Elephas maximus indicus: one gene and its partners. The protein of the gene in region 3 purifies or fractionates together with the protein of the main gene of each other region. This does not show direct contact. Links are inferred from orthologs where the notes say so. Each region holds a gene or a part of one and is shown on either strand. Other genes may lie near its edges. The genes, in order: EIF3D, EIF4B, EIF3H and EIF3J.

The links.
Region 1: the proteins of EIF3H (region 3) and EIF3D purify together in Homo sapiens (affinity purification with mass spectrometry; 10 studies listed by BioGRID and IntAct, counting the BioPlex papers as one, with this or other methods). This does not show direct contact. The link is inferred for Elephas maximus indicus from reciprocal best matches to the Homo sapiens genes EIF3H and EIF3D.
Region 2: the proteins of EIF3H (region 3) and EIF4B purify together in Homo sapiens (affinity purification with mass spectrometry; 3 studies listed by BioGRID and IntAct, with this or other methods). This does not show direct contact. The link is inferred for Elephas maximus indicus from reciprocal best matches to the Homo sapiens genes EIF3H and EIF4B.
Region 4: the proteins of EIF3H (region 3) and EIF3J purify together in Homo sapiens (affinity purification with mass spectrometry; 3 studies listed by BioGRID and IntAct, with this or other methods). This does not show direct contact. The link is inferred for Elephas maximus indicus from reciprocal best matches to the Homo sapiens genes EIF3H and EIF3J.

Annotation. Positions count from the first base shown.
Region 1 is NC_064822.1:180,151,072-180,158,680, forward strand, and holds the start of EIF3D (eukaryotic translation initiation factor 3 subunit D), read right to left. Parts: upstream 3,198-7,609; 5' UTR 3,062-3,197; intron 564-3,061; 5' UTR 554-563; coding exon 431-553; intron 123-430; coding exon 77-122; intron 1-76. UniProt on the Homo sapiens protein: mRNA cap-binding component of the eukaryotic translation initiation factor 3 (eIF-3) complex, a complex required for several steps in the initiation of protein synthesis of a specialized repertoire of mRNAs.
Region 2 is NC_064822.1:108,529,057-108,536,337, reverse strand, and holds the start of EIF4B (eukaryotic translation initiation factor 4B), read right to left. Parts: upstream 3,141-7,281; 5' UTR 3,059-3,140; coding exon 3,046-3,058; intron 1-3,045. UniProt on the Homo sapiens protein: Required for the binding of mRNA to ribosomes. Functions in close association with EIF4-F and EIF4-A. Binds near the 5'-terminal cap of mRNA in presence of EIF-4F and ATP.
Region 3 is NC_064833.1:25,733,232-25,740,749, reverse strand, and holds the start of EIF3H (eukaryotic translation initiation factor 3 subunit H), read right to left. Parts: upstream 3,299-7,518; 5' UTR 3,256-3,298; coding exon 3,124-3,255; intron 1-3,123.
Region 4 is NC_064828.1:11,590,724-11,598,959, forward strand, and holds the start of EIF3J (eukaryotic translation initiation factor 3 subunit J), read right to left. Parts: upstream 3,281-8,236; 5' UTR 2,902-3,280; coding exon 2,847-2,901; intron 2,756-2,846; coding exon 2,652-2,755; intron 1-2,651. UniProt on the Homo sapiens protein: Component of the eukaryotic translation initiation factor 3 (eIF-3) complex, which is required for several steps in the initiation of protein synthesis.

The DNA of each region.
Region 1 (7,609 bases), on a different chromosome or scaffold from region 3:
AAAGCTTTCAGATGGACTAGAACAAGTATCAATTCTCCCAGGGTCCTGATTTGGCAGTCAGTTTAAGAATACTTACTTGTGTACCTCTTATCCTGGTATGTGGCACCTGTCCAATCTGCCACCTATTAAGAGCAACAAGGAAAGACAGAGAATGCACAGGTCAACCAGGCAAGTTGCTGTTGACCCAGAAACCCCTGAAAAAGTTACAGGAGGAAACAGTGTGATAAAGTCTCAGAAGAACTGGATCACAATGCCTTTGTAAGTACGCAGCTCTCCTGTGACTACTTCCAGAGGTCAGAGCCTTTCTCAGCTGGTATCACTATAAGGAACGCAGGGGTTATGCTTTTGAGAGAATAAAATGCAAACAGGAACTCCTGGGGAGTAACAGCCACAGCTTGAAAGACGCAGAGTCCTGCTGACAGGCAAGTACCTTTCCTAGCCGGTCTCCTTTGCTGAACGGCTGGTAGGGCATATCCCGAAACTGCTCGGGAACTGCACACGGGCCCCAGCCTGAGGGATTATCTTGGATCACGGGTGTCATGAACTTCGCCATCTTCTAAAACCTTAAAGACACAAATAAGGTGAGTAGCTGCGGGAAGAAAGGCCTCACAGTACAAAAAGTCCTCCATTTGAGGTAGGCCCAGACAGAAATGATAAAAATTCAAAAAGCAACACACAAAATGCAACTCTGAACTACTGAGCTACTGACGAGATGCTTTCTTATAAGTGACACTGTGAATAAAGCTCATTAGATTGATAACCAAATTGATTCACTGTATTTCATTAGTTCTGTGACACTTTTTCAGCTGTGACATCTTTGAAATGAAGCTACAACTTATGTTTGATGGTGTACCACAGCTTAATTGGCAGTTTTTCTCGGCGTTACATAAGATAATGGTGCTTCTTAACATCAGTGTGTCTCACAAATTTGATGAAATCTGGTAACCCTTCTGCAACTGTAATAACCACATTCTGTTCTTAGAAGCCCCTTAACCCAGGCATACGATTCCTCCCTAAGCCCCCGTCTCCCCATCTGTAAAATAAATAGAATCCTTGCTTTATCTTGTACTACGAGATCACCGTGGAAGTCCTGGTCAACACACATGAAAATGCCTCCTTTGTAAAATGCCACATAATTACTACCCAGCCTTGCAAAATACATTTATGCCCAAAGAGTGGTGAGAAAAAAGAATCCGTAAGTTATGTCAGAAAATTTGACTTTCCTTTCTTGTTCTTCCAATTTTCTATCACCAATGCAAATCCTGTGTGCAGAGCAAGTGGACATAGCCAGGCAAAGGCCTGCCAGAAGGCTGATGTCACCATAAACCTTAGGCCAAAAGCTACCATACATCAAATATTATGGATACCAGGTACTGTTTTCAGTGCTAACCATATATGAATTCGCTAAATCCTCCCAACAATCCTGTGAGGTGGGGACCAGTATTATTTCCACTTTCAGATAATAAAACTGAGGCACAGTGAAGTTAAGAAATTACCCAAAGTCTCAATGGTAGTTGATAAGGAATTTGAATCCAGGCAGTCTGGCTCCAGAGTCCACTCTCTGCACAACGCTTTAACTCCTCTCAGGAGTATATGAGCCTGGGGTTCCAACGCAGATGCTTGCCTGACAGTCCCTACCAAAAATTATGTGTTTACCATCCATTTCAGCACTCTGAAAGTGCTCACAACCTTCGTTCCCTGAGAAAAACTCATGACACAAGCATTTCCTGGAAGCTGAAGAGCAAATCGAAAAGCAGAGATATACTGAACTCAGTAAACTCTCCTCATTGTCCAAAATGGGGAGATTGAGGCTTCCTACAGAGATGACACTAGAATGATAGCAACAGGGAATGAACCTAGGAGCTTCATCCTCCAACTCTGAACTTAAGCTATGCTAGCAAAGAGGACAGAGGGAAGGGGCGGTAATCTCAACAATTCACATTCAATAAATATCTATTGAGCTGTATGTACGAGGCGGAAACCCTGGTAGCATAGTGGTTAAGAGCTACAGCTGCTAACCCAAAGGTCAGCAGTTTGAATCCACCAGGTGCTCCTCGGAAACCGTGTGGGGCAGTTCTATTTTGCCCAATAGGGTCGCTATGAGTCCGAATCGACTCGATGGCAACGGGTTCGGGTTTTGGATGGACGAGGCATCATACTAGATACTTTAACACCACTACCTCCCTCCCGATTTTAGAGATAAAAATCTGAACCTCAGCCACATCAAGCGGTTGACCTGTCCATGGTTTCTGAACTGATTCGATTTACAGGGCAGTCTGCCGTAAGTCCGACACTCTCTTCATCCCATTAGAGCTGGGCGGCAGTCTGAAAAACTCTGGGACTTTCAGACCATACTTAACAACGCAATAAGAATGTCTGCAAATACACTGTTCTTTCAGTTTAGTCGTTCTGTAAGAAGCTCAAGAAGGAAACCGGCCCAAGGCTTGACATGCACTTTTCCAGCCCAAGTAAAACAGAGCGAGCAGAATGGAACCAGTAGGGGAAATGGAGTCGTTCGGGGAAAATGGACAGTGACAGCTGTACTGGCCACAGTGTTGTGTAGATATTGTCGAGGCCATCGCAGATCGCACCCATCAACCCCTGGGCGAAGAGAGACTTCCGATCAGGTCAATTCTCCATCCTAACCTCTCATGTCAAAGAAAAGGAAAAGAAACATTTGAGCTGCGCATTCCTCAGGGCAGGGGTCGAACATCGCTCAGCTTACCACCCTCAATAACCCACTCGTAGAAAAAACTCAGGAAGCCTCCAGCCACTTTAGAAACACCTTGAGACCCAGCTGAGTTAAGTGACAACCAAATACGCTTAAACCGTGGCCAAGAAGCGAGCTTAAAGCCAGAGACTTCACCAACTGGGCCGGATCCCGCACCCCAAGGGGTGCTGGGCTCGGAGCCTCCAAAAGTGGCTCTCTGCCCCGCCCGGCTGAGGAACCGCGGCAGCAGGAGGGCACGTACAGGAGGTCTCTTCCGGGAGGCCCCTGAAGGCAGGATCCAGCCCAACCGGCTCCGGAAGCCCTCAGGACCCCACACAACACGCCGCTCACCTGCAACGGCCTCGGCCCTCCCCGATGGCGGGAGATGGTCGGGGCAAGAAACGCGAGTCACCAGAAGCACTCGGAGAACAGGGAAAAGGGAGAACATGCGCGCGCAGCAGCCGGCGCCGTAAACACGACCGGCGCTGTCGTAAACTGCTCGCCAGCTTCTTCCGAGTTCGGTGGTAAGACGCACGAGCCGTAAAGCTAAGGTAACCCGGAAAGTCGTTACTGCTCTTTGCGAGGTGTGAGCCGAAGCCTCCCAGACTTCAAGACGCAAGAGGTGTGATTATAGTTACGTCAGGCAGCACTGAAACGTAGCGGCCGTGCAATCGAGGCTGGGGGCCGGGAGAGGCTGAGATCCACTCAGTATCCCAGAATGCTTCACGGGACCCTTCCGCCCCTCTGTATCCCACAATGACCCGCGGCTCCCCCGCTCTCTTTAACCAATCATGTCATTTGATTCTTACAGCAAGGGGTGGGGCGAGTGTTTTAGGCCCGGTTCGTAATTATCACCGGTTTCCTTTTTACAGTAATTAGCACCCGTTTCCTTTTTACAGTAGCGGAAGCTGACGTGTAAAATGACCTGCTTAGTTTAGAGTGCTAGTTTAGGAGTGTCTACCAGTGTCCAAATCCTACTTAAAAACTATTCAAACTTGACTGTACGGCAAAGATTACTGGAGCTCTACTTTAAAAGAATGCAGATTACGAATCTCGCTCCCACAGATAGTTATTCAAATCTGCCTAAAGAGGAGTCCAGGAATTTGCATTTAAATTGGCAACTGTGCTTCTGAAGTGGGGGGACTCAGAACCACTTTGCTACGTTGGGCAACAATGCTGTCCTCTCTGCAACTCTCGGCGTAGGGATTTTCTCCTGGAGTCTTTACCGGAGAAATTTCAAAACTTTGATCAGAAGGAGCACCAGAAAATCGAACCTGTTGTGGACGAGTCAATTCCGGTGTGATTTACTCAGTCAGATCCTTTTCTACTTGGTCTCCTAGGTTTCCTTCGTCTCCCAGCCTGTCTCCTTTATTGGAAAATACATCTATTATTAGACAAATCTGGGATCTAGTTTGGACTCTGCCATTTTCTGGCGGAGTGGTGTCACCTCTCTGGCCCTCAGTTTCCATATCTGGCAGTGTCAGAGCTTCTCTGCTAGCCAAAAGGTCAGCAATTCGAATCCACCGGCCCCTCCTTGGAAACCCTTTGGAGCAGTTCTACTCTGCCCTGTAGGGGCGCTATGAGTAGGAAACGACTCCAGGGCAACAGGTTTTTTTTTTTGTGTGTGTGATTGTAAAAATAAAGAATGTATGTTATAACAAAGAAGCCCTTTGCCATAGAGCCGATTCCGACTCATTGCGACCCTATAGGACAAGAGTAGAACTGCCCTGTAGGGTTTCCAAGGGGGGCTGGTGGATTCCAACTGCTGACCTGCTGGTTAGCAGACAAACCCTTTAACCATTGCACCACCAGGGTTCCGTGTATGTTAAAGTACTTAGTAATTCCTTTTAAATTCCGTTTAAAGTACTTAGTAATTCCGTGTTTACCCATGTCCATGGATGAACACGGACAGATTATTCAACCTCTTTAAACCTACTTACTCATCTGTAAAATGAGAATGTTAATAGCACCTTCTTCCATAAGATCTCTTTCAATTGGCTCATTTTTCAGTTTTCCTTAAAAATTTTTTTTAACAACAATGAAAACACGTCCACCTCAGCAGGGCCTCTGCACTTGTGTTCCTTCTGCATGACACACTCTTCTCCCACATCTACTCATAGTTGGCTTGGTCCCATCATCCAAATCTCTGCTGAAGAGTTATCTCCTCAAAGAGGTCTTCCTAAAATAGTTCCTTCTCTCTCCATCCCTCCTTGCCTTCTTACCCTGCTTTGTTTTTTTCATAGTTCTCATCACTACCTGGAATATTATTTGTTTCTTTGTGTAGAGTTTGTCTCCCCCTCTAGAGTGTAAGCTCCATGAAGATAGGAGCTTTGTCTACCTAGAACATTACATATTTGTTGACGTGTTGAATGAATGGATAGAGGTTTTGTGAGAATTACATGAAAAAATGAATTCAGCACATTACTCTAGCACATAGATAAGCAGTCAATAAATGTTATTGTTGTGTGCTATGGAGTTGATTCTGACTCATGGTAACCCTATAGGACAGAGTAGAACTGCCTCATATGGTTTCCAAGGCTATAATCTTTATGGGAGCAGGTCTTTTCTCCCATGGAACCACTAGGTGGGTTCAAACCACCAACCTTTTGGTTAGCAGCTGAATGCTTAACCATTGCACCGCAGTGGCTCCTTCAGTAAATGTTCCCAAAACCCAGTGCTGTCAAGTCAATTCTGACTGATAGCGACCCTATAGGACAGAGTAGAGCTGCCCCATAGAGTTTCCAAGGAGCACCTGGAGGATTCAAACTGCTGACCCTTTGGCTGGCAACTGTAGCACTTAACCACTACGCCACCAGGGTTTCCGTCAATAAATGTTAGTGTAATTAATATCCATAATAAATTGTCCTTGTTCTAAACCATAAGGGAAAATGTATTTTTGCTGAACTGCTTTGATCATGGACTCACAGGCCATCTGCTGCATCCTCCCTCCATGACTCATGTCAGAGAACTGAATCATCTTTCCCAGATTTCGGCCTAGACATCCTTGCCCACCCAGATGGAGATGGATTTGGACTGTCCAGTCTCATTCCTAATAGTGGGTCCCTGGGCTTAGGTGGGAGATCTTGCTTCCATTCCTCCTCCCAACTGACACCCCTGTTGCCATTTTCCTGCTATCTGCTGTCCATTCTCCATGCAGCAGCAGAATGCCCCTGCTTTACACTAAGTCAGCACATGCTCACCCCACCCCTACCCTTAAAACCCTTTAGATGCTTACCGTTACCCTGAGGATAAAATCCTAAACTCCATTCCATAGTCTGCCAGTTGCTGTCATGTTGATCCTGACTCTCGGTGACCCCACGTGTGTCAGAATAGAACTGTGCTCTATAGGGTTTGCGATGGCTGATTTTTCGGTCGTAGGTCACAAGGGCTTTCTTCTAAGGCACCTCTGGGTGAACTCCAACCTCCAACCTTTAGGTTAGCAGCCTAGCTTTTAACCGTTGACACCACCCAGGGAGTCCCCTGAGGGGGAAGGAATGGCAGAATCCAGGAGCTGAAATGAATGTGGGTAGACCGGAAAAGACTAGTGCCAACTCAAAGAAGATGACCAAAGCAACGCAAGAGGGAAGGAGCATCTTTGCCCCGGTAGACTGCAGGCTATGAGAGGGTGGAGGTGCTCAGGTGGGGCAGAGAAGGTAGAGTAGAGGGAACTTGTGGACATGAAGGGAGGCCTATAAAAGGCCAAAAAGCACCCAAAATAGGAGGGTGGAACTGAGCAGGGGATGGTGGCGGGGGGAGGTGCCAATGACAGTTGTTCCCAGACTGGAGGAGGAGAGAAGAGCAATTTTGGAGATGGCCATTTTGTTAGACTTCTGACACAAAAAAAGGCATGAGGGAGTGGGGGGTGTGGGACACCAAGAAATAGACAAAGGAACTGGAAACGCTGACCAGAAAAGAGTCCCAAGAAGGCACAGTAGCATTAACAGAGTAGTGAGCTCCCTGGCACTGGGGACATCCAAGAGAAGGTGATGGCAACCAGCCAGAGGTGTGACAAGGAGATTCCTCTCCAGAGTGAATGCTGGACTGGATGGCCAAGAGGTTCCCTTCCCATCCCAGCATGCGAGAACTCATCCTTCCCTCCTTGGAAGGGCACGTGTGGGAACAAAAAAGGCTGTTCCTGACGCAGGGCTATTTCCCCAGCAGGACACCCCCCCCCGCCCCCCACCAGGTCTACCCTGGTCAAAAACCCACTGCCGTTGAGTCGATTTCTGACTCATAGTGACCCTATAGAACAGAGTAGAACTGCCCCATAGAGTTTCCAAGGAGTGCCTGGTGGATTTGAACTGCTGACATCTTGGTTTGCAGCCATAGCACTCAACCACTACGCCACCAGGGTTTTCCTACCCTGGCCAGCTCCCTCTAATCCTCCAGTCTTGGCTCAGGTGTCACCTCCTCTTCCATCACCTCCACTTCCACAGAAAGTCTCCCCTGAACTCCTGCCGTAGAGTTGCTGCACCCAAATCGCTTTCCAATACACAGCCCCATGACAGGGTCTTCACCTACTTATCACGTCTTTTTGTACGAGTGCCCATTTTCAACCTCCCCCCACTAACAGGCACCCCCTGAGAGCAGGGTCCCCGACTTTTGTCTTCCTGCTGCAGCCTCCACACTTAGTTCTATATCAGGCACATAGTAGGTACTCCATCAATGTTTGTTGAATGAATAAATACATGAAATTCCAGCTCTGCCTCTTACTAGCTGCCTGTGACCTTGGTTAGTGACCTTGCCCTCTGAGCCTCATTTTACTATCATAAAATTGGCATTGAAATACTGCAGTCATGTGGCTCAAAGGAAATAAAAGACTTTGTCACTTATAAACTGCTGTGCTAACATTAGCCATTATTAGCAATAATGAAAAGTTAGTTATTAAATTGCCCAGAA
Region 2 (7,281 bases), on a different chromosome or scaffold from region 3:
ACTTCAACTGACTCCACTCTCTGTTCGGAGCCCTGGTGGCGCAGTGGTTAAGAGCTGGAATGCTAACCAAAAGGTCAGCAGTTTGAATCCACCAGCCACTCCTTGGAAACCCTAAGCGACATTTCTACTCTCTATGAGTCAGATTTTTTTTTTTACTCTCTGTATTTGTCTTTGAATTTCCGTAAGGCGTTTTTAGTTTTGGCCTTCTGAATCTAGGTATCCTAGCCTCAGAATAACAAATATATGGTAGAGAATGGGATTTGAAAACAGGTAATAATGCAAACATAATCCAATGGCAATCTCTGAAACTATTTCTCTTTGGATAATCACAGGATAATGCACATATGAAGGATATCATAGGTTAATCAAAGGGAAAATAACTATGAGGGTCAGCACCATATGAAAACAATGGATACCATCCTCTCCCCATAAAAAAAAAAATCAAACAAAATGCCATATTCAATAGCATTTAAGTGTTATGCAAAATGAAAGGGTTGCACATAGGTATGCACACACTTTTGCCAACTTTAGTTTCAAAAAGTGCTAACATGTATCAAACACGTTTGATTCTCTATACCTAAAGTGAGCAGATAAACTATGTTCATTTTATAGATGAGGAAACTGGGACCCAAGAGGTAAATGGTCTGTAACAAATTTACAAAAGTTAAAACAAAATGAAAACCTCAGTTTCAGGGGAGTATTCTTAAGAAGCCAAACAAGGAATCAAGTGGCCTGTCTCAATGTATCAAGTTTCCTAAAAATCCAAGATACCTCCATTTAATAGTAAGCCCTGAAATACTTCCAGTTCTTGAAGTCAACGACGGGTCACACTGGAAATGTGTATTGCTGCGAAGAATTTTCAGTCTCAAAAGAGGCTGATGAAGTTGTATCATGTATTTCCACAGAGGAAATACAAGATCTACTTCCAGCAAAACACTGGTCACCATCAGGAAACACTGAAAATACACTGAGAATTTTACAGCCTCTTTAGTACAGCCAGATCTGGTATTACTGGTTACCCAACAGTCAATTACAGTGTAAAAGATTAAAGGGGAAAAGAAATCTGATAAACCTAAAACTCCCCGAGGACAGACTGTCAGATGTATCCCTGAGCACAGATTCCAGCATAGTGCCCCTTGCACAGACTAAACAAGCTAAATAAGTATCCACTGAATTAAGGAAGTGTTTCCAAGGGGGTAAACTAAACATGGAAAACAGGAGAAGGGGACATCACTGAGCATACCCCTTTAACCAGCCTGGATTTCACTGAACTCATGTGTAAAATGAAGGACACAGATTATATAATTGCTAACAGGTCTTCTACCTGTAATAATTTCACAAAAGTTATGGATAAGGAGAATACTGGCTTTTCACTAAATTATGAGACAGTTAACTGTCAAGATGGCAAACCCAGGCCAAATCGGTATTTGACACAATGATAAGCTTAAAATAAATTTAGGACTGTACCAGTTCAGAGAGAAAAAAAAAAGTACAATTTTTTAAACTTCAGATGAAGCTTTTGGACAGCACACCAAAAAAGGAAGTCAACCTTGGTACTCCCAAGTAGGTGATGGTAATGAGTCAACAGTCTTAGATTTCAGCCTTGCTCTGCCACCTGCAAGCAGTGTGACCTTGAACAAATCATTTCATTGTCCTCGGCTGAGGCATACCACCATCTATCTCACAGAGGACCAAACGAGACAACACACACAGAATTGCTTGGTCAATTGGCAAGTCTACACCAATGAACAGCAATGAAAGATATCATGTTCAACTGCACCTCAACTACCTCGACATTTTCTAAAGATAAGCATAACCCTTAGCCTCGTTTATAAATAATAAAGAAGGTAAAATTCCTGGTGAGAAGTGAGTGTCCAGAGATAGCAGGGGCTCAGTGAATGTTTTGTGGAATGCAGGGTGATGCCAGGGTGAAAAAATTATATTCGTCAAACTAAAATCAATGCTACAAGATGTTGCACAGCTTACTGCTGCACTTCCAAGTCTATCAGAAAGATCTGCATGACAGTGATAACGCCCCCTCAAAAAACAACTCAACTCATTTTAATTGTATCCCTAGTAGTTCTACATCTATAAAAAAAAAAAAAAACTGAACTCTACCACCGGAACTATCAAAAACTCAACGCGAATAGAAGCTTCATAAGAGCAGGGACCTAATCTCGTTCACCACTATCTCCAGTGCCTACCACGGTGCCTTGCACAACGTTTTCGCTCAGTAAAAATTTGACAAGAAAAAAGGCACAGAAGAAAATCTAAGTCCTTAGCCCTGGTTCCGCTCCAACACGTGGGTACACCAGAGTTCCCTACCCCCACCTAACTTTAGTAGCTTCAACCTCCAACCTGACACATGTACCTTTAAGAGTACAAAGCTGGGCCACACTCTTAGAGGAAAAGAGCAGAAAGTGGAAGGACATAAAAAGGGGCAACAGAGGCGCGTAAAGCCTTCCCATTTAGGCACTCGCGCATGCTTTTGAGGAGCGCCTGTCTCCACTACCCTCGTCCCTCCCACCGCGCACGCGCACCACTGCCTCACCCCCGCCCCTCCACTGACACGCGCTCGCGTTCTAACTGCCCCCCCTTTATCCCCCTGCCCCCGCTCCAGTCCGCAACGGCCTCGCGCCTTGGAGACCTAGTCTAGTGTGCGCCGGTCCGCGCGCCAACCGCTCCTTCCTTCCTCCACGTCTTCAAGCGGGCACAGTGTATCACGTCCATGAAAACATCTCGCGCCTCTCGCAGATCCTTCTGCGCCTCCTCGCTCCAACTCAAGCCAGAGCCCACCTTTACCCCCGACTCGAGCCTCGCGCAGACCGGGTGAAAAGGCTGTGAGGGGGAGGGGAAGGGCACCTTCCCCTCCCCCCTAAACATCCCGAGACAATAATGTAAGATGGCCAAGCCACCAGCCTGCCGCAGCCCCCAAATCCTAAGGGAAGCAGTGCCGCCCACCTCCCGATTCCAGGTAGTCAGTGGATCAGGTTGGTAGAGTGGTTTAGGAGCCCGGTCTTTCGCCGCGCTCGGCCGCTCACTCACCTGAGGCCGCCATGTTGGGAGAGGGAGAGAGAACGCAAAGGACCCGGATGAGGCAATCACGTGATTATAGCGGGCGCGTCGGCCTAGGAGACGCGAAACTGGGAGGGGGCGGGGAGGTAAGGAGGGAGACCGGAGGCGGGGCGGCGCTGCTCCAGGTTCGTAAAGCAGCGCGAGGAGGTGGGGCTGCGTCCGACGGGAAGACCTGCGCGACATGAGGCCGGAGGGGTGGGGCTTGGGCTGTCGCGAAATTCCTTACGCTTTACGTAGGACTACGCGCGGACGAGAGGCGGGTTCTCATGGTCCGCAGACTTCCTGCGGGTGCGTTAGGCGGAACAGGCGTGTTCGTATTTGCTGGCTGCACTAATAGGGATAGAATCAAGGCGGGCTAGAACCTAGAATGGGTGTGCCGTAATTGATTTTCTGGGACGGATACTTTTTGTAAAAGCGAAACAAGTTCACAATCCTGCCTAAAAATGCTGTAAATAAACGTGCTTAAAAGAAATTAGGTTAATAAATACTGAACATTATTTGCCATGGATTTTTACCTTGTTTAATCCTCACAATTTTCTGATTAGGTTTAGTCAAACCCGGTTTTCTATGATTTCATAGCCGAGTGCTACCCATGTTTTCGCTAGCTAATGCTCCATTTTGTCATATATTAATATTTCAGTCCATGACAATTTTTGTTGAGCACCTACTCTGTGCCAGGCATTGTTAAAGACATTTGCAGGTACAAGAGAGAACAAAACTGACCAGATCCCTACCCTCAAGTAGGTTATATTCCAGAGAGGGAAAGACAGACAATAAGCAAATTAATAAATAAAGTATTAGAAATGATAAGGACTCTGGAGGTAATTAAAATAAGTGATGTAATAAAAATGACTGAGTGGGTGCAACTCTAGAATGTGGCTAGATAAGACCTCCTGAGAAGCGACATTTAAGCAGAGATCTGAATCACAAGCAGCTTAGCCCTGCGAACGTATTCAGGGAGAGTTTTAGGGGAAGGAGAGGATGTGCAGTTACATCAAAGGCCAGGGTAGGAACACCTTGCCAATTTGATGAATTTAAAGGCTAGTAGCATCCCAACGATCATGGAGATGGACGTGCAACTATTTGTTTTGATATCTGTAAGGTTATGAGTCAGAGCCAACTCGAAGGCAGCTAACAAAAACAGTAAGAGAGTGGTACGAGATGAAGTTTGAGAGATAGGCAGGAGTTGGGTCAAGTGCGGCTTTGTAAACCAGGAGGTGGTTGGGAAAGCATGGAATGATTTTTTTTTTTTTTAATTAAGGTAAAACACATGTAACATAAAGTTTGCCATTTTAACCATTTTTAAGTACAATTCAGTGGCATTAATTATATTCATAATGCTGTGCAACCATCACTGCTATTTCCAAAGCTTTTTCATCATCCCAAACAGAAACTCTGTATCCATTAAGCAATAACTCCTCCTTCACCCCTCAGCTTCCCCAGTCCCTGGCAACTACTAATCTACTTTCTGTCTCTATGCATTTGTCGATTCTAGTTATTTTATATTTGTCCTTTTGTGCCTGGCTTATTTCACTTAGCATAATATCTTCAAGATTCATCCATGTCGTAGCATATATCAGAACTTCATTTCTTCATAACTGAATAATATTCCTTTTTGTTTGTTTTGTTTATCAAGCACGGAATGATTTTAAGCAGGAGAAAGCCACGACTTGAAATAATTTTTTAAAAAAGATTATTTAGTACCTTCATATGGGTAGCGGTTATATGAATGTATAACTGTAAAAATGCATCAGATTGTACACTTAAGATTTTTGGACCTTAGTGTATGGAAGTCATACTTTAATTAAAAAAAGAAAAAAGAGAATACTGAGGTTGCTGAATGGAGAGTAGATTAGACAGATGGAATAATGAAAGAGAAAGACCCTAGAAGTATTGTGGGTCTTAGGCATTACGCCTAATGAATAAGTTGGCCCTTAGTGGATAAATTGCTGTGAGAGAAGATGGTGGTTTAGATGTGAATGTGGAGATGGAAAAGGATGGATGCAGATATATTTCGGAAGTAGACTTGATGATTGATTAGATGTGAGAGTCAAGGGAGAGGGAGCTATCAAAGTTAACTTCCAAGTTTTTGGCATGAACTCTGTCTTAGTTATCTGGTGCTGCTCTAACAGAAATACCACAAGTGGGAGGCTTTAACAAAGAGAAATTTATTCTCTCACAGTCTGTGAAGCTAGAAGTCCAAATTCAGGGTGCCAGCTCCAGGGAAAGGCTTTCTCTTTCTATCGGCTCTGGGCGAAGGTCCTTGTCATCAATCTTCCCTTGGTCTAGGAGCTTCTCAGTGCAGGGACCCCAGGTCTGAAGGATGCTGTCCCCTCCTGGTTCTTCATTATTGGTGGCCTGAGGTCCTCCACTCTCTCTGCTCAATTCTCTCTTTTATATTTCAAAAGAAGTTGACACAAGACATAACCTAATCTTGTAGATTGAGTCCTGTCTCCTTAACATAACTGCCGCTAATCCTGCCTCATTAACATCATAGAGATAAGGTTTACAACACATAGGAAAATGACATCAGGTGACAAAATTATGGTCAATCACACTATTCTGGGAATCATAGCCTAGCTAAGTTGACACACATTTTGGGGGGAAATAATTCAATCCATAACAACCTGGGTGATGCTGTTTACTCACATGGTGAAGCCTATCATGGAGCAGGTTTAGAGGGGGTATGTGGGCTCTATTTTGGCCATGTGAAGTTTGAAATAGGTGGCACAAATGGTTAAGTGCTTGGCTACTAACCTAAAGGTTGGCAGTTCAAATCCACCCAGGAGTGCCTCACAAGAAAGGCCTGGTGATCTACTTCCAAAACATCACAGCCATTGAAAACCCTATGGAGCACAATTCTACTCTGACATACATGGGGTTGTGACAAGTTGGAACTGTATGGACAGCAACTAGTTTGCTCAAACTTTAATGTGCTTATAAATCACCTGAGGAATGTGTTAAAAGTCACATTCCAATTCAGCAGGGCTGAGGTGATGAGGCCTGAGATTCTATATTTCTAACAAGCTTCCAGGTGATGCAGATGGTGCCAGTCTGAGGACCACAGTTTGAATAGCAGAGTACTGGACAACCGTAGGGGCCCTGGTGGCACAGTGGTTAAAAGCTCGGCTGCTAACCAAAAGATTGGCAGTTTGAATCCACCAGTTGCTCCTTGGAAACCCTATGGGGCAGTTCTGCTCTATCCTATAAGGTCGCTATGAGTCGGAATCGACTCGACGGCAAAGGGTTTTGGTTTGGGGACAACCATGTGGTGATGTCAAGTAGGTGATCTGGAGTTCCTGAAAGAGACCAAGTCTGGAAATAGGAATTCGGGAGCCATCTTAGTTACCTGGAGCCCTGGTGATGCACTGGTTAAGAGCTCAGCTGCTAACCAAAAGGTCGGCAGTTCGAATCTACCAGCTGCTCCTTGGAAACCCAATGGGGCGGTTCTGCTCTGTCCTGTAGAGTCACTATGAGTCGGAATTGGCTCAGCGGCAAAGGGTTCGATTTTGGTTTGATCTCAGTTACCTAGTCCTGCTATAACAGAAATACCATAGTCGGTGACTTTAACAAACAGAAATTTTATTCTCTCACAGTTTAGGAGGCTAGAAGTCTGAATTCAGAGCATCATGGGGGAAGGTCCTTGTCTCTTTTCAACTTCTGTTTCTTGGCTCCGTGGTGATCTTTATGTGGCAGGGCATCTATCTTCCCCCATCTCTGCTTGCTTCTCTGTGCCTAATCTGTTCTTTTTATATCTCAAAGGTGATTGGCTTAAAACACACCCTAAACTGATATGCCCTCTTAACACAGCAAAGAAAACACAGCCCCTTATAATCACAGATATAAAAAAGAAACCAAACCCGTTGCTCTCTAGTCCTCCAACTCATAGGGACACTATAGGACAGAGTAGAACTGCCCTATATGATGTCCAAGACTATAATCTTTACAGATGCAGACTGCCACATTTTCCTCCCGTGGACGGGCTGGTGGATTCAAACCGCCGACCTTTTGGTTAGCAGCCGAGCGCTTAACCACTGTTCAACCAGGGCTCCTCAGCCACAGCTATAGGGGTTAGGATTTACAACACATATTTTGGGAGGACACATAATAGGAGTCATCAGCATATAAATGGCATGATATTTCAAGCAATCTATATAACCTATACAAAATAATTTGAGAAGCTGGACTGTGTGAAGAACGCAGCAT
Region 3 (7,518 bases):
TTGTTCAAAGTAAAATTCATTAATAAATCTAGAGTAACTGGTATCCCCCGCACCTAGTACAATATCTGTCATTCTGAAGGTATAATTTAAAATTCCCAATATGACGTATGGTACCTCGGAAGCATTCATGATTAAAATAGCAGCAATCAAAAAAAAAAAAAAAAAACTAAGCAATCGCATGGTAATCTAGCTGTCTAATTTTTCTTTTAATGTTAGAAATACAAATGTCTTCAGTAAGGGAGAGAGAGGGGCTCTGGTGGCGCAGTGGTGAAGCATTTGTCTGCTAACCAAAAGGTCAGCAGTTCGAATCCACCAGCTACATCTTGGAAACCCTACGGGGCAGTTCTACTCTGTCCTATAGAGTCATTATGAGTTGGAACTGACTCAACAGCAAAGGGTTTTTTTTCTTTAAGGGAAAGAGAAGTTATTAAGAATTTATTTGATTAATATTTATCTAACTGATAAAGAGCAAAAGCAGAGAGGTATCCACTACTACGGTTAAGAAGTACTTCACCAAGTTTTTCAAAACCCTGGAATAAATAACCCTCAAGGTCCCTCATTTGCCCTTATAATGGATTCTGTGGTCACTAGTAAGCTGATTTTTAATATGATTTCCCAGATACCCTGGTAATCAAAAAGGGTGCTTTTGGTAGTAGATGTGAACATTTTAGTCACTACAAAGGTATATCTTCCACAGCAAATTAAGAAACTGACATTTAAGTTTATAAATCAATCTCATGAATAGGATTAATCAGTCCCTTGGAACTAAACAACTTTGAGATACCCATTGCCGCCAAGTCAATTCTGACTCATAGAGACCCTACAGGACAGAGTAGAACTGCCCCATAGAGTTTCCAAGGAGCACGTGGTGGATTTGAACTGCCAAACTTTTGGTTAGCAGCTGTAGCTCTTAACCACTAGCTGATAAAAATGATTTGTGAAGTCACAAAATAGAGAACAAGTCTCTTGACCTTGCTGAGCCCACCGTCACAGCCTGTAAGGCTCTTCGTGATCCTAGTCTGACTCCACCTGTAGCTGTCTTTTTAATTCAACAATCTCTTGTAGCTCCAAGGACAGAGTTACTGGTGTACCATTATCATTCATCCATGTTACACAGTGCTCAGCACTTAGAAGAAAGCCCTAAAATATTTGCCAAATAAATTACCTTAACCAAACATCACTAAGGTGTTACATTTTCAACTATGAAAACTCAGTGGTTCAAAGAGTGGTTTTGTCACAAAAGCAAATTTAATAAGTATTAAATTTGGTACTTACTTTTACTAGTTCAGTCCTACTGCCAAAAAAAAAGTGACGTTCAATTTCTAAAATATGTTATTTACTCTTGAACACACACCTGCCTCCAATGGGGCGGGTGAACATCAGAAATGTAAGTAGAATACATTTTCAAAGTATTATGCAAATGACAAGTAAACGGACAGGTCAAGGAATTTTCAAAGTTAATTTCCTGCCTGCATCTTTCAAACCCTGCCATCCATAGACATAATGCTCATAATAATAATTATACCACAACTAACAATTACTAAGAGCTTACTATGTACCACCCCCACGAATTTGCAACAACTTCATCACACAATTACTTCTCATTCCCACTGGGCAGATGAAGAAGAAAGACTTGGAAAGGCTAACTTGCCTAAGATCACAAAGCTAGGAAGACTGAATGACTCCAGAGTCTAGAGTCTTAGCCATCTTATTCAGTTTTACTAACTTAAACACTTCCTTTTCTAGTTTACTTCAACAGATTAAGCTACTGAAATTATCAATAGTTTCTATGTAAACATTTTTTGTTGTTGTGTGCCCTTGAGTAGATTCCAACTTCTAGCAACTGTGTATGACAGAGTAGAGCTGCCCCACAGGATTTCCTAGGCTGAAATCTTTATGAGAGCAGATTGCCAGGTCTTTTCTCCGGCAGAATGGCTGCTGGGCTACTAGGTTCCAACTGCCCACCTTTTGGTTAGCAGCAAAGGGCTAAACCATTACACCACCAGGTCTCCCTTCACATAAATGTACCTTACTGCAATTAAAACTGTCAAATGAATCTTAAAAGATTTCTTTATTACAAATGTCTAAGGTCTGGACTACTGCAAAATAATCAGACCAGACAGAGACCTAAGCAGACTAAAAAAAACAAAAGGTGTGCAAAAGAGGAGGGTGCTTTTAAAAACAAAAGCTTTCAAAAAGAGCAATGCTTTTAAAGCTAGGAGGTCCTACACATGCACTTTGTTTGGAAACAACAGAAATGAAATTTCACATCATTCTATATTTGCCTCTTTCCTGCTTAGTCCATTCCCTTACCCAGATTTCCTTAGAAGTCCTAGTTCACGAACCTCAATCACTAAATACGTGTAATAACGGAAATTCTCCTTGATATTCACTTAAGTTCTTGAGAATGACCACTAGTAAAGAGTTTACTCCAGTTACGTAGGTAAAGCACTGAACCACAAGCTCAGAAAGGTGGCTAAAAAGTAAGCCTACAATTTGAAGTTACAGATGTCAAATCACGGCAAGGAAGCAGTGAAAACTTTCCCTTACCGTCCCCTTTTCAAGAGCCCTAAGCTAGTGTTCTAAAAAAAAAGGCGCTCTGGTGGTGCAGTGGTTAAGCTAACTGAAAAGTGGGAACTCCGAACCCACCAGCCGCTCCGCGGAAGAAAAGATGCGGCAGTCTGCCTCCGTAAAGATGTACGGCCTTGGAAACCCCATGGGGCAGTTCTACTCTGTCCTACAGGGTCGCTCTGAGTTGGAATCGACGGCAGTGGGTTTGGTGTTTTTTTATTTTTTGTTTGGAAACTACGATCCTACATCTTCTTGACACTTCCGTCACCTACTTGATTCCCACAATACTCTTTCTCCAAATGAAAACAAGACCTCAAGCGTCTGTCATACAAACCCCTAACCTCGATCCCTTTTCTCAACCCTCGAAGCTCCCGTCAGAGGGCGGAGAAGGCTGCCACCTCTCCCAAATAAAAAGTGAAGATCAAGGAGGAGGAGGATGCTACGGAAAACGTTGGCGCAACCTCACCAGACCCAGAGGAGAAGCGTGTCTGGCGAGACTGCCATGGGAACTGCGCTGCCCACGTGGGCCGGAGGAGACCAGGCCCAACTCACCAGGCCATCGATCTGCACTTGCTTCACGGCCGAGTCTCCGGAGCCGCCTTTGCCTTTGCCTTTGCCTGCAGTGCCGGTAGTGGAGCTGGAAGAGGTGGCCGCAGAGCCGGTGCCTTCCTTGCGGGACGCCATTTTTCCAGCCGGACAGGAAGAAGGGAAAGTGAGTAACCGGAAGCGGAAGTATAACCTTCCCGGGACGTCAAGGACACACCTCCGTTTCAGGCGCGTTGCTAAGAGGTGTGGCCAGCGCAGGGCCCCGCCTTTTTTCTTCTCCCGCCCACTTATTGTACCTCCCCGCCGGAATCCTGTGCGCATGCGGGTTGTGCAGCTGCGCTCCCGTTTCTGTTGAGCAGTTTTGTAGACTTTTTAAATGTTTTCCACTTCATATTTAGTCATTCTCCTTTAGGGAGTGACCATAATAGCATTATAGCTGACATCACGGTAGCGTCTTATACGTAAAAATGCTTTCACTTCTAATCTTTTGAATTAATCTGTATTCCCAAACTTGTAAACTATGAAGGGAGTACTAGCTCCCACTGGACGTATTGGGAAACTAAGACGTAGCTTGGGCAATGTCCTTCTGTTCATTAGTGGCAAGCTGGTATTGCAATCTGTGTCCTGTAATTTGTGTGCGTGTGTGCTTTAAGTCAAAGTTTACAGCTCAAGTTAGTTTCTCGTGCGGAAATTTTTACACACTCTGTTTTGTGACCCTAGTTGCTATCCCTAAAATATGTCACCACGCTCCTCATTTCCACCCCAGATTTCCCCCATCAGTTCAACCAGCTCCAGTCCGTTTCTGCCTTCTTATCTCGCTTCCTGAGGGAGCTGCCGGTTTAGTTATGTCTTATATTCCAGTCTAATCTTTGCCTGAAGAGTTGGCTTCTGGAATAGTTTTAGGCTAACAAAGAGTCCAGGAGCCATGTCTTCTGGGGTCCCTCCAGTCTCAGATAGACCATTAAGTCTGGTCTTTTTACTAGAATTTGAGTTCTACACCCCACTTTTCTCCGGCTCTGCTGTGCTCCCTGTCAGGGCAGTCATTGGTGGTAGGCAGGCACTATCTAATTCTTCTGGTCTCAGGCTGATGGAATATCTGGTTTATGTGGCCCTTTCTGTTTCTTGGGCTAATATTATCCTTGTGTCTTTGGTGTTCTTCTTTCTCCTTTGTCAGGTAGGTTGGGACAAATTGATGCATCTTAGAGGGCCCTCCTCGCTAGCTTATAAGACCGCAGATGCCACTCACCAAAGAGGGATGCAGTACATTTTCTTAATAAATTTTGTTATGCCAATTGGCCTAGATGTTCCCTGAATCAATGGTCCCCAGACCCCCACCCCTGCTACTCTGTCCCTTGAAGTGTTTGGTTGTATTCAGGAAACTTTTTAGCTTTTGGTTTAGTCCAGTTGTGCTGGCTTCCCCCGTATTGTGTGTTGTCCTTCCCTTCATTTAAGATAATTCTTGCCTACTATCTAGTTAGTGGATATCCCTCTCCCTCCCTCCCCACCCTCGTAACCATCAAAGAATGTTTTCTTCTGTGTTTAAACCTTTTCTTGAGTTCTTGTAATAGTGGTCTCATACAGTATTTGTCTTTCGGGGACTGACTAATTTCACTCAGCATAATGCCTTCCATATTCATCCATGTTATGTCTCATGTAATTTTAGATAGTGAAAATTTTAAGATGGTTTATAAAGAAATTAATTCAAACATAGGAACTTTAATCGGAATTACCAGAACTAATAGCTCTTCATTTCTATTAGCTTCATGGTGAGATTTACATGAGCAAAATACCAAAGATGTTATCATGTGGGAAACCCTGGTGCTTAAGTGCTACGGCTGCTAACCAAAGGGTCGGCAGTTGGAATCCACCAGGCACTCCTTGGAAACTCTATGGGGCAGTTCTACTCTGTCCTATAGGGTTGCTATGAGTCGGAATCAACTCGACGGCACTGGGTTTGGTTTGTTTTTGTTGTCGTTATTATGTGAAGTGTTGAACAATAATGCAGAACATATTATTCCCTAAAAACTACGCTAACTGGTGACACATTACTCTAAAATATACATCTCAAGTCTTAAAAAAAAAAAAAAAAAACTTGACAGCTTTAGAAAGCCAATTTAGTTAAGGAATTTAAGACATTATTTCTCAGATTCCAAATAACAATTTGTCTTATTTTTAAAATGTTTACTCATTCTTTAAGTATGTATTCAGAACTGATAAAGTGGGAACATCAATGAAGGGTTTTTCCTCCCTGAAGTTTTTGGCTATTTTTGTTGTCGGTGGAAGGAGCCTGGTTGCACATTGGTTAAGCAGCTTTGCTGCTAACTGAAAGGTCGGAGGTTTGAACCCACCAGCCGATCCACAGGAGAAAGACGTGCCAGTCTGCTTCCCTAAAGATTAAAAAAAAAAAAAAAAATTTTTTTATTACAACCTTGAAAATCCTATGGAGCAGTTCTACTCTGTCCCAAAGGGTTGCTGTGAGTCCGAATCGACTTCATAGCAACGGGTTTTTTTGCTTTGGCTGTTGGGGAGGAGGGAGCTCTTGTGTTACAATCTGAGAAAAGAAATAGTTGTACCTGGCAAAGGGTTTCACACACACACAAAAAACTAAGGATACAAAAGGAAATGTTAATATCTAGTCTTTTTAAGAGTATGTGGAATATTTATTAAAATAGATCACACCCTGGGTGATGAAGTCTTTACAAATTTACAAGTGTTGAAGGCTGATCATGGTAAAATCACACTAAAAATCAGTAAAAAAATGATAAGAAAAAGGAGAAGAAGGAGGAGGAGGGGAAAGAAAATCCCTAATGGAACAAGCAGAACTGGAGATGCGTGCCTACCATTGGGTACCTGTCAAGATGAGCATCTGTTGGAGGAATGGTCTGCCTCTACGTCTCCCACCCAGGCTGCCTAAGTAAAGGCCTCGGGTCTAAAGCCTTCTCTGATAAGGAGGCTAGGAATTGAGCCTCCGTCTCCCACAGAGTCACTCTGAGTTGGAATCGACTCAAAGGCAACAGGTTTGGTTTTTTGGTTTTTTCTCTCTCCCAGTTCCTTCTCCTTATCAGAGAAACCTCCCCCTGTTCTGGGCACAGAATAACTTTCTCTGTCTCTTGCATATGCATGAACACCATACGGCGCTGGCCAACCCCACATCTATATCTGGTCCCAGTGGGGAGAGAACGGGGTCTCTCGTACTCGTACTACAGCACAAGAGGGAGAGCATGCCAGATTGTAAAAGCCAGCCTCAGGGAGTGGACTGAAGGAGAAACGGGCTTTGGGAGGCCGAACATGGGCACCCCCATGTGGTTTGCTAGTTCACTAGTTTGCATTCTTATGTAAGCCTCTGGTGTGAAGCCACCATTGTCCACTACCACTGTAAAATTTATGCCGTTCCAGATCTCTGGCAATCTGGTCTGGTCCTGCTGCTGCCCAACACTTGGCCTCATATGTAAGTCTTCTTTGCTGCTACACTGGAGTTGTCCTCTCTTTCTTTGTTCTCTCGGCACCCTCCATTTTGAGAGCCAAATTTCAAGTTACTGGTCATGCTTGGACAACATCACAGAATACTTAGGTTATTTACCAACAATAAGTTTACTTAGTTACTTTATCCTACAATATACGTAACACATAGTATATTTCATAATTGCAATATCAATATTACCACTACCAATAAAACTACTGAGTAAAGTTTAAAATTTCTTTGCAATTTTTCTGTCCTTAGAAATATCCCACTAAGGATTTACAGTCATGTGTGCCAAACACATTACACACCACCACCACCAGTTGCCATCTAGTTGATTTTGACTCATGGTGACTCCATGTGTGTCAGAGTAGAACTGTGCTTCATAAGCTTTTCAATGGCTGATTTTTTAGAAGTAGATTGCTAGGCCTTTTTTCCATGGTTCCTCTGGGGGTAGTCTCGAACCACCAACCTTTCAGTTAGCAGCCAACCATTTGCACCACCCAGGGACTCCAAGCACATTACACAGGTTTTTTAAATCTGACCTAAGATGGTGCATTTGAGTCCTCTGACCAAAACAGTGCTCCTGATAGGTCAGAGGTATAAATATTAAAAGAAATTAAGAAATAAAACCTTATGACACAGAATTGGAATTAAGAAACCAATATGAATACCTTAGCTACAAAGTCCTAGAAGCAATGAAACTTCATTTACTTGGATTCCTGGTCTCCTTGCTATCTCACTGGCTGTTCCTTTCTTCTCAGGGATTCTGCTCCCCTTCCCAAATCCTTAAATATTGAAGAGCACCAGAGTTCAGTCCTTGAGCATCTTCTTTCCCTTATATTTGTTCCCTATCATAATGACATCATCCACTCTTAGGGCTGTAAACATCATAAAATACATGCTTATGATTCCTAAATTTAGGTCTTCCCCAGACCTTG
Region 4 (8,236 bases), on a different chromosome or scaffold from region 3:
CTACCAGCGCTCCAAGGGAGAAAGATGTGGCTCTCTGCTTCTGTAAAGATTAAAACCCGCTGCCGGAGAATCGATTTCGACTCATAACGACCCTATAGGACAGAGCAGAACTGCCCTCGTAGGGTTTCCAAGGATCTGCTGGTAGATTCAAACTGCTGACCTTCTGATCTGCAGCCAAACTCCTAAACACTGTGCCACCAAGGCTCCATAAAGATTACAGCCTTGGAAATCCTATGGGGCAGTTCCACTCTATCCTACAGGGTTGCTATGAGTCAGAATCAACCCCACAGCAGCGGGTTTGGGTTTTTTTTTAGTGTGTTTCCTTACAAAGATTGTCTTAAAGCATTAGAATTCAGAAATTTGGTGTTACTCACCACCACCCAAAATGACAAAATTCAACTCTAGATCAATAACCTCTGAACAAGTAAAAACTTGCCTGATAACTATGATCATTTCATTCAAAACATAAAATTCACAGTAAATAAGGAACGTGGAAAGCGCTTCTCTGGGCTTAGGAAATCACAAACAATGTGGCACAAAATGAACCCCAGACAGTAGATTTAAACAGCCTAAGCATATTTTCCATTAAGTGAGACTTAACAGGTACTGAGGGCCTACCGTGTGCCAGGCAACTCTGCTTAGTGCTTGACATATTATCTGGTATAATCCGAAAAATAACCCTTTGAGGTAGGTTACTATAGTGGCAGTTTATACATGATGAAACTGAAAAAAAAAAAAAAGGAAGACTAGACAAAATGACCTTTATGGTCCATTAACCCACTGCCACCAAGTCCACTCCTATTCATAGCAACCCTGTAAGACAGGGCAGAACCACAACTACCCCACAGGGTTTCGAAGGCTGTAATCTTTACAGGAGCAAAATACATCTTTCTCCCGTGGAGCAGCTGGTGGATTTGAACCACTGGCCTTTCAGTTACACTTAACCACTGTACCACAGGGCTCCTTACAACTTGTCAATCTCCAAAACTAGTCCACAGAGATCAGAATTCTACTGATGAGGACCAATACCACTTAGATTCTTTAACTCCAGGAAGGCTGTTTCATGATACTGTATCAGTTCAGACTACTCTACTCAAATTATCATTTTCTGGGACTTATTTCCTAACTTCTCTAATCTTTTCTTCTCATTTGCTAACTTAAACTCAATTTTCATAACATATATCTAAACTGCCACATTTAGTATGCATGGAAAAGTGAAAGGACAAACTAGAACTCAAAGCCAAGGTTCAAAACAGAAAATCTGCCCCACAGGGTTTCCAAGGAGCAGCTGGCAGACTCGAACTGCCAACCTTTAGGTTAGCATGCTGAGCTCTTAACCACTGCACCACCGGGGCTTCACAATGTAGGGAGGTAACTAGTATCTCGCAAGAAAGCTGATAACACCATCTATCTCTTTGTCTGAACAATGTGTAAACAGAACACCTAAGCATCTTCAGTCAATAAGAGTACCACTCATTCATTAACTCCAATGTGTACAAAGATCACACCACCCCTGAACCTCAGGCTGTGAGGGCCATCCACCTTATCAGATTCAGGAGAAAAGGGAAAAGTCCAAACAATAGCGCTATTATGTTCATAGTGATTATCTAGCTCAAAATCTCCAATTCAAACAGAAGAATTTATAAGGTTCTCAGTATACACTGAAGAGTAGAAGTTAGGAACATAAAACATTCACTGAATTAATTAAAACCTGAAAAACCATTTTTTCCACTTCATACTTTCATCTGCACAAATGTAACAAGACTTTGAGAACCTTGTTAATAAGGGTTTGAACATCTTAACATTCTGAACTTCAGATTTTTGTAGCTACTTAAAAAAAACAGAAGTCAGAATGTCATCTAAAGGCCTACCACCCCTGGGGGTTTTCAAAAGCAAACGGCATTACGTCAATAGGATTCTGATCTACAAGGCGTAGGGAAAAAAAGATAAGCGGCGGCCCCTCCTCTACCCCAACTGCCAAATCTTTAGTGCTTCATCCTCAGGCGCCGCCGTCGTGCGCGGAACATTACACAACTCACTGCCCACTGCCCAGGTCGCCGAGTGGGCTGAGCGGGTTTCTGGGGGCTAGCCGCTGGCCATCTCCGCGCTCGGCTCAGCCTTTTCACCACAGGGTGGGGGAGGGAGGGCTCAAACTCCCCTCCCCGTACTGCTTCTATTTGTCTCGTGTGAACAGGCGGAAAAAAACTGAAATCAAAACACACTATCTCGCTCACCTAACCGTTCCGTCCAAGTCTGCTACAAGCGGGCCTGATCTCGAGAAGGCAGGCCGGCTGCAGGCCCTCCCCTGCGGGCCAGGCCACGCGGCTCAGCCCTCAACCTCCCGCTTCACCCCGCGACCCCACGACAGCGACGCCGGCACGTGGGCCGGCGGGAAGTGCTGTCACCTCCGCAACCCGCCGGCGAGTGGGGCCGGGCCGGGCTGCCGCCACGCCGCCCGTCCCCGGCCCGCAGGCCCAGCGAGCAGACACGGCGCCGCCGACCCTACGCCCGCGCCGGGACTCGCGGCCCGCAGGCCCGAGCGGCGCCCCTGGGCCGAGTCCGCCCGTCCGCCCGCCCGCCGGCCGGCAGGCAACCCGCCCGCGACAGCGCCAACCCGGCCTGCGCTGCCCGGCGCCCCGGCCCGCGCCCACCTTGACGTCTTCGTCCTCGTCCTCGCCTTCCCAGCGGTCCCCGCCGGCGGTGCCGCCGCCCCCCACCTTCCGCACCGGGTCCTCCACGGAGAACGCGTCCGCGTCTACGGAAGAGAGCGAGCCGCGTTAGTGCCTGCCTCGGCGTGGGGCCGGCGCCGGTCCGGGCCCAGAACCTGCCCTCGGAACGCTCCTCACCCCAGGAATCGGAGTCCCCCGCCGCCGCCGCCGTCGCCGCCGTCGCCGACGCCATCTCGGGCCGGGTGTGAGCGTGTGTGAGGGGGAGGAAGCGAGGACTCAGCGCGCAGGAGGTGAGTCACTGGCTTTGCTCTCGTTGGCCGGCGCGAGGCAGGCTGGGACCGTGGCGGACTGTGCGCCGAGGCCCCGCCCATCTGGCGGCAGCCGGGCGACGCACGCGCGGGCCGGCGGCAGCGTGGAAGGCGGCGGACAGCGCTGGGAGCGGCGGGGCCGAGCGAGGCGGCGGGGAGCGGCGGGGCCGAGTCGGGGGTTCCCTCCCGGCAGGACGTTTCCGCAGGCTGGCGGGCGGGAGGACGGAGAGCAGCCGGGAGACCGGCAGCCTACCCTGGGCCCGCGGAGGAAACGTAAGCGCGTGGTCGCTATCCTCGGCCCCCGCGGCTCCGGCCCCGCCCACCCCGGGCCCCGGCCCCGCCCCCGCGGCCCCGGCCCCGCCCCGAGCACCAGCGTTCGGCGCCTGCGCCCTGCCCTCACTCTGCTCGCTTGGATTCCGCCGGTGGCCGCCTGTGGGAGGCGGCGAGCGAGCCCCCCGGCCCGCGGAGGGCGCCGTCCGCCCGCGCCGGAGGCCGGAAGCCGGCGTGCACGGGGCGCGCTTCGGACATCCTCCCTAGCCGGGTCGCTGGGAGCCGGCTGGGCTCGGTCACCCTGGAGGATGTGCCCTTCCCGGGAGCCCCGGAAGCCGGGACATCGAGCCTCTCTTGGCGGGACAGTTGGGGAGCTCCTCGCTCTGCTGGACCTAGGCCCTGGCCGTGTCCTCCGGAGCCCACAATCAAGTAGCAAGGGTAGGCTGTGAACAAATGTCGACACAGTGTGATGGCTGCAGCGTAAAAGAAGCATTGTGAGGTTAAACGTTACAGGGTAACATTAAGGACGGCGGGGACCTGGAGGGTGCAGAGACGTCTCCCTGAGTTTGGAAGACCACTTCTGGTGTAAAGAGCCGTGTGTGCTGTCCCTGACCACAGAGGTCAGCTGAGTGCGGCTGAGTAACGCAGTCGGAGATGCGGCTGAAACGGTAAACTGATCTCAGAGGGGTTTAAGGTGAGCTAAGCAAGTGCACGCGTCCCCGGGCTCTGAGCTCCACCGTGGGGTTGTAAGAGGCAAGCAGTTTCAATGTTTTGTTTTATTAACTCCTTTTATTTTCAAAGACTTAATACTTGATTACAGCGTTCAAGTTTTTTGTAGATACATATTTATAAATATAGTATTAACTTACAACCAAAAACCACTGTGTAGCAACCTTATTCTAGGTTTCTTGTGTATCCTTTTAGAGAAGGTGTACAAATAATACATTGTACAAAGATGGTTTTTCTTGAGACAGCCTGCAGCCCTCATACTATGATCAGAGTGTGTTCACGGATCAGCAGCTGGAGCTTACTGGAAATGCGGGATTTCAGGCCCCATCCACGCCTATGGAATCAGAGTCTACCTTTCCAACAAAATCGGAAGATGATTTTTCTGAACATTAGAGCGTGAGAAGCAGTGATCTATAGGCATCAATTCATAACGATGGATCAGAAGGAGGCAGGGAAAAGCTGCACTCTAAGGTCCCTGAGGGCACGGCCTGTGTTTCATTCACAATTGTATCTCCAGCATGTGGCACGGTGCCCAATACATAATAAGTATTTCATGAATTAGTTAAATGGGAAGGACACAAGCCTGAATTAAGGCCATGTCAGAGAGGGAGAAACCAATCTGAGAAATATCTAGGGATTAGAGTCAATGGGATTTAGTGACTAATTGGATCTGGACGAGGCGGGAAAGGACAGTGCACAGTGATGACACCCATCTAGTTACTCAAGTAAAAAACCTGGGAGCTATCCTTGATTTTCTCCTCTCACTCCCTAAATTCAGTCTATCACCCAGTCCTGTGGTTCTTTTACAGTATTAACCTTGAATCCATTCAGTGCCCCCCCCCATCCACATCCCTATCTCTGCTGCCACTGCCTTAATCCAAGCTGTCTTTACGTGTACTATAGTAACCTCCCGATTGGCCTGCTTTCTTCCAACTCCACAGTCTGTTCATTACACACCAGCCAGTTTGTATATTTAAAAATGTAAATCATAACATCACACGTACACAATTGAAGTCCCCTTAGTGACTTCTTGGAAACCCTGGTGGTGTAGTGGTTAAGTGCTACAGCTGCTAACAAAAGGATTGGCAGTTTGAACCCGCCAGGTGCTCCTTGGAAACTATGGGGTAGTTCTACTCTGTCCTATAGGGTCGCTATGAGTCGGAATTGACTAGACGGCAGTGGGTTTGGTTTTGTGAGATGGAATATGGTGGATTGAAAAGTCACTGCTTGGAGGTCAGTTAAACAATCAGATTATGTTGAACTGAATGCTGGGTACTGCTGGTGAGGAGTGGGGAGAGCTATAATTCCTTCTTTTCCAGAAACTCCAAGTACACAAAGGTGAGTAGACCCCCAAAGCCGTGTCTGACCCTTGCTGAGCTGGCTTGGAAAGGGCATCAGAAGCAGATTAACTGTGAAGCTAATGAAACTTTAGCTTTAGGGCTCTTCATTGCATGAGTTCCTCTCATTCTTCAAGAAACCCTTCCAAATTGCATATGCTTCAGGCTGTATAAAACCTGGGTCTGCCCCTAGGTGGGATATAAGTAACCAGAGGAACCATCCAAATCCGAGGATGGCCTCCAGTGAACCACACTTAACAATATGCAAACCCTTATGTAGTCCTTTCCTCTTGAACCTGGGCTAGCCCTATGATCTGTTTTGACTGACAGAATAGGGCAGAAGTGACACCTAAGGTTGTCACAAGCCTTGCAGCTTCCACCTGGCTCTTTTGGAACGTTCACTGTGGGGGAAACCAGCTGCCATTTAATAAGTCTTACTACCCTGAGACCACCATGCTGTGAGGAGGTCCAAGCGAATCACGTGAACAGCCAGCCTCCCACTGTTCCAGCTATCCCACCTGAGATGCCAGACGTGGGAGTGAAGAAGCCATCTTGGACATCCAGCCTAGTTGAGCCATCAGATGGCAGTCTACATCCAACCACTGTTTGAATACAACCACAGAAGACCCCAAGGGAAAGTTGCCCAGTGGAGAGATAAGTTGTTAAGTCTCTAAGTTTTGGAATGAATTATTATGCAGCAGTGGGTAACTGAAAGGTTCTCCCAGACTTTAGAATTTGGAACTGACGACTCCCAGGGCCTGGGAGCTGTCGTGGCTGGGACAGCACTCTGAAGGGAGGGCCACAACTCCTGCTGAAGTGATGCTTTCCCAGGCCATCCTGGTTCCTCCTGCCTTCCCTGTGGTCCAGTTGTTCAACTCTTCCTTGAATGCCATGAGATACCTTAGTATCATTGCAGTAAATTCTTTTCTTGGCCTCAGCTAAAAATCTTGACAAAAACATCCTAATAGAGTCTAATTGCAAACAGGAAATCTTCAGAGGCTAATGCTCTACTGTACTTGAGTCTGTATTCGGCACATACCCGTTGCCTTGGAGTCGATTCTGATTGATAGCCACACTACAGGACAGAGTACAACTGCCCCCTAGGGTTTCCAGGGGGTGGCTGGTGGATTCAAACTGTTGACCTTTTGGCTAGCAACCTTAGCTTTTAACCACTGCACCACCAGGGCTCTGTGTTTGGCACAGAGTAGGCATTTAGTAACTATTTTTGAATGACTACATGAATAAATTTCTTACTGGGTTCTTTTCCAAGTTAGAAAAGCCTGCCCATCAGGCCATCAGATTTCTCTTCATGAAAGGAAATCTCAAAAGAAAAAAAGTTAATACTGCCGGGCCCCAAGGAAGGAAGCTTTTTATTATAAGGTATGCTGGCTAAGAAGATGCCAGATCCAAACAACTACATCAAGGTAGAGTCTCAGGAAAGCAACGTTGTGTTTTTCTGAAGCGGTAGTGTAATTATTTGTATTAACTTTGCTGAAGATGTTTTAAGACAATGTATCTTAAACCAAAAATTATTATCAGAAAGAAGGTTAAATATAGGGAAGGTGAGGCCAAAGAACAAGATTTTGATAGTCTCTATAGAAAGGAAACAATGAGCTGACCTGCAGACTTTTAGCAGTTGTATCATATGAGGGTATCCGCTTGATTTGATAGTAGCCATTAAGGTTCCTTTATAATAGACTCTCTGGTTCCACCCTTACCAAAAAACCCCAGATTGTGATTCAGTCTTTTAAGGAACTTGCTGACAGTAAATGAATAAAATTGAAATCTGGCTTAAAAAATGAGTGTCTTGTGTGTGAACCAGTTCTCTTGAGTCTCGTCAGTTTTGGTTGCACTGAATAAATCAATTTTATGGACTTGAAAGTATAAGTCTGAACTTCTAAATGTAGGCTCAGACATTCCTTCATTTAGTCAGCAAATAGTTATTGAGTACCAAATATGTACCAATTGCTAGGTTCTGGGAACACAGAAAAAACTCACTTCAAGGTGTTAAACCATTGCAGCTGGAAAGGAGGGGAGTGGTGCTGTATGAACGAACACCGTAAGAGCCTGTGCATCTTCAGCGCCGATGTTTTGGAAGCAGCAGTTAAGATTTGCTCACAGTTTGGTGCATGCTGTACCCGCCCCAATGAATTCGGAAACAAGCGTCTAGAAGTATGTGCTAGGTACTTTAACATTTAGTTATTAAAACAAACCAGTGTTTCACATGTTAGCCTCTAGGGAAGCCCCAAAATTGCAACTAACAGTATTACTCAAATTTTACATATTTTTAAAAAGTTTATTTCACAGATGACCGGAGTAGGTGGTCAGTAACTGTTGGACAAATGAACATTAAAACCTCTGCCCTCAGGAAGGCTCTAGAAGAGTAAATGCCAACAGAGGTGAAGCAGAGCTGCTCATGGCTTATCAGTTTAGGTGCCTTAAGTACCAGATTCAAAATCTCCTAAAGATGAAATAAGGTTAAAGCTGAAGAGGGGGAGGTTTTAATTGCAAACAGAGCCAGTTTAAAATTCATATATATAAAACACGAAGATTACTCAGTCACCTAAAAAAAAAAAGTTTGTATGAGTTGATACAGAAGGAACAAATTTATTTTTCATTTTAAACAAGCCAAAAAAGACATGTCTATGTATCCAAGAATCATATAAGACATAAAATGACAACACTGTCTCTGTTCAGTTCCTGCACATTTTTCCAGACTTTTATAAGGTGCCATAAAACCCTACAGTTCTTTCCCATTTTTGTCTGGCCAGTGGAAAGCACACGTCTTTCCCCAGGGAGTGCCCAGTCCACACTGATCTGTCAGTACTCTTCTAAGCTAGACGAGCCACGCTCCCCACAGCTTTCTACCAGTCCCCTGTCCTCCAGGCCTCAGATTGCCCCGTTGTAATGCTAGTAACCACTT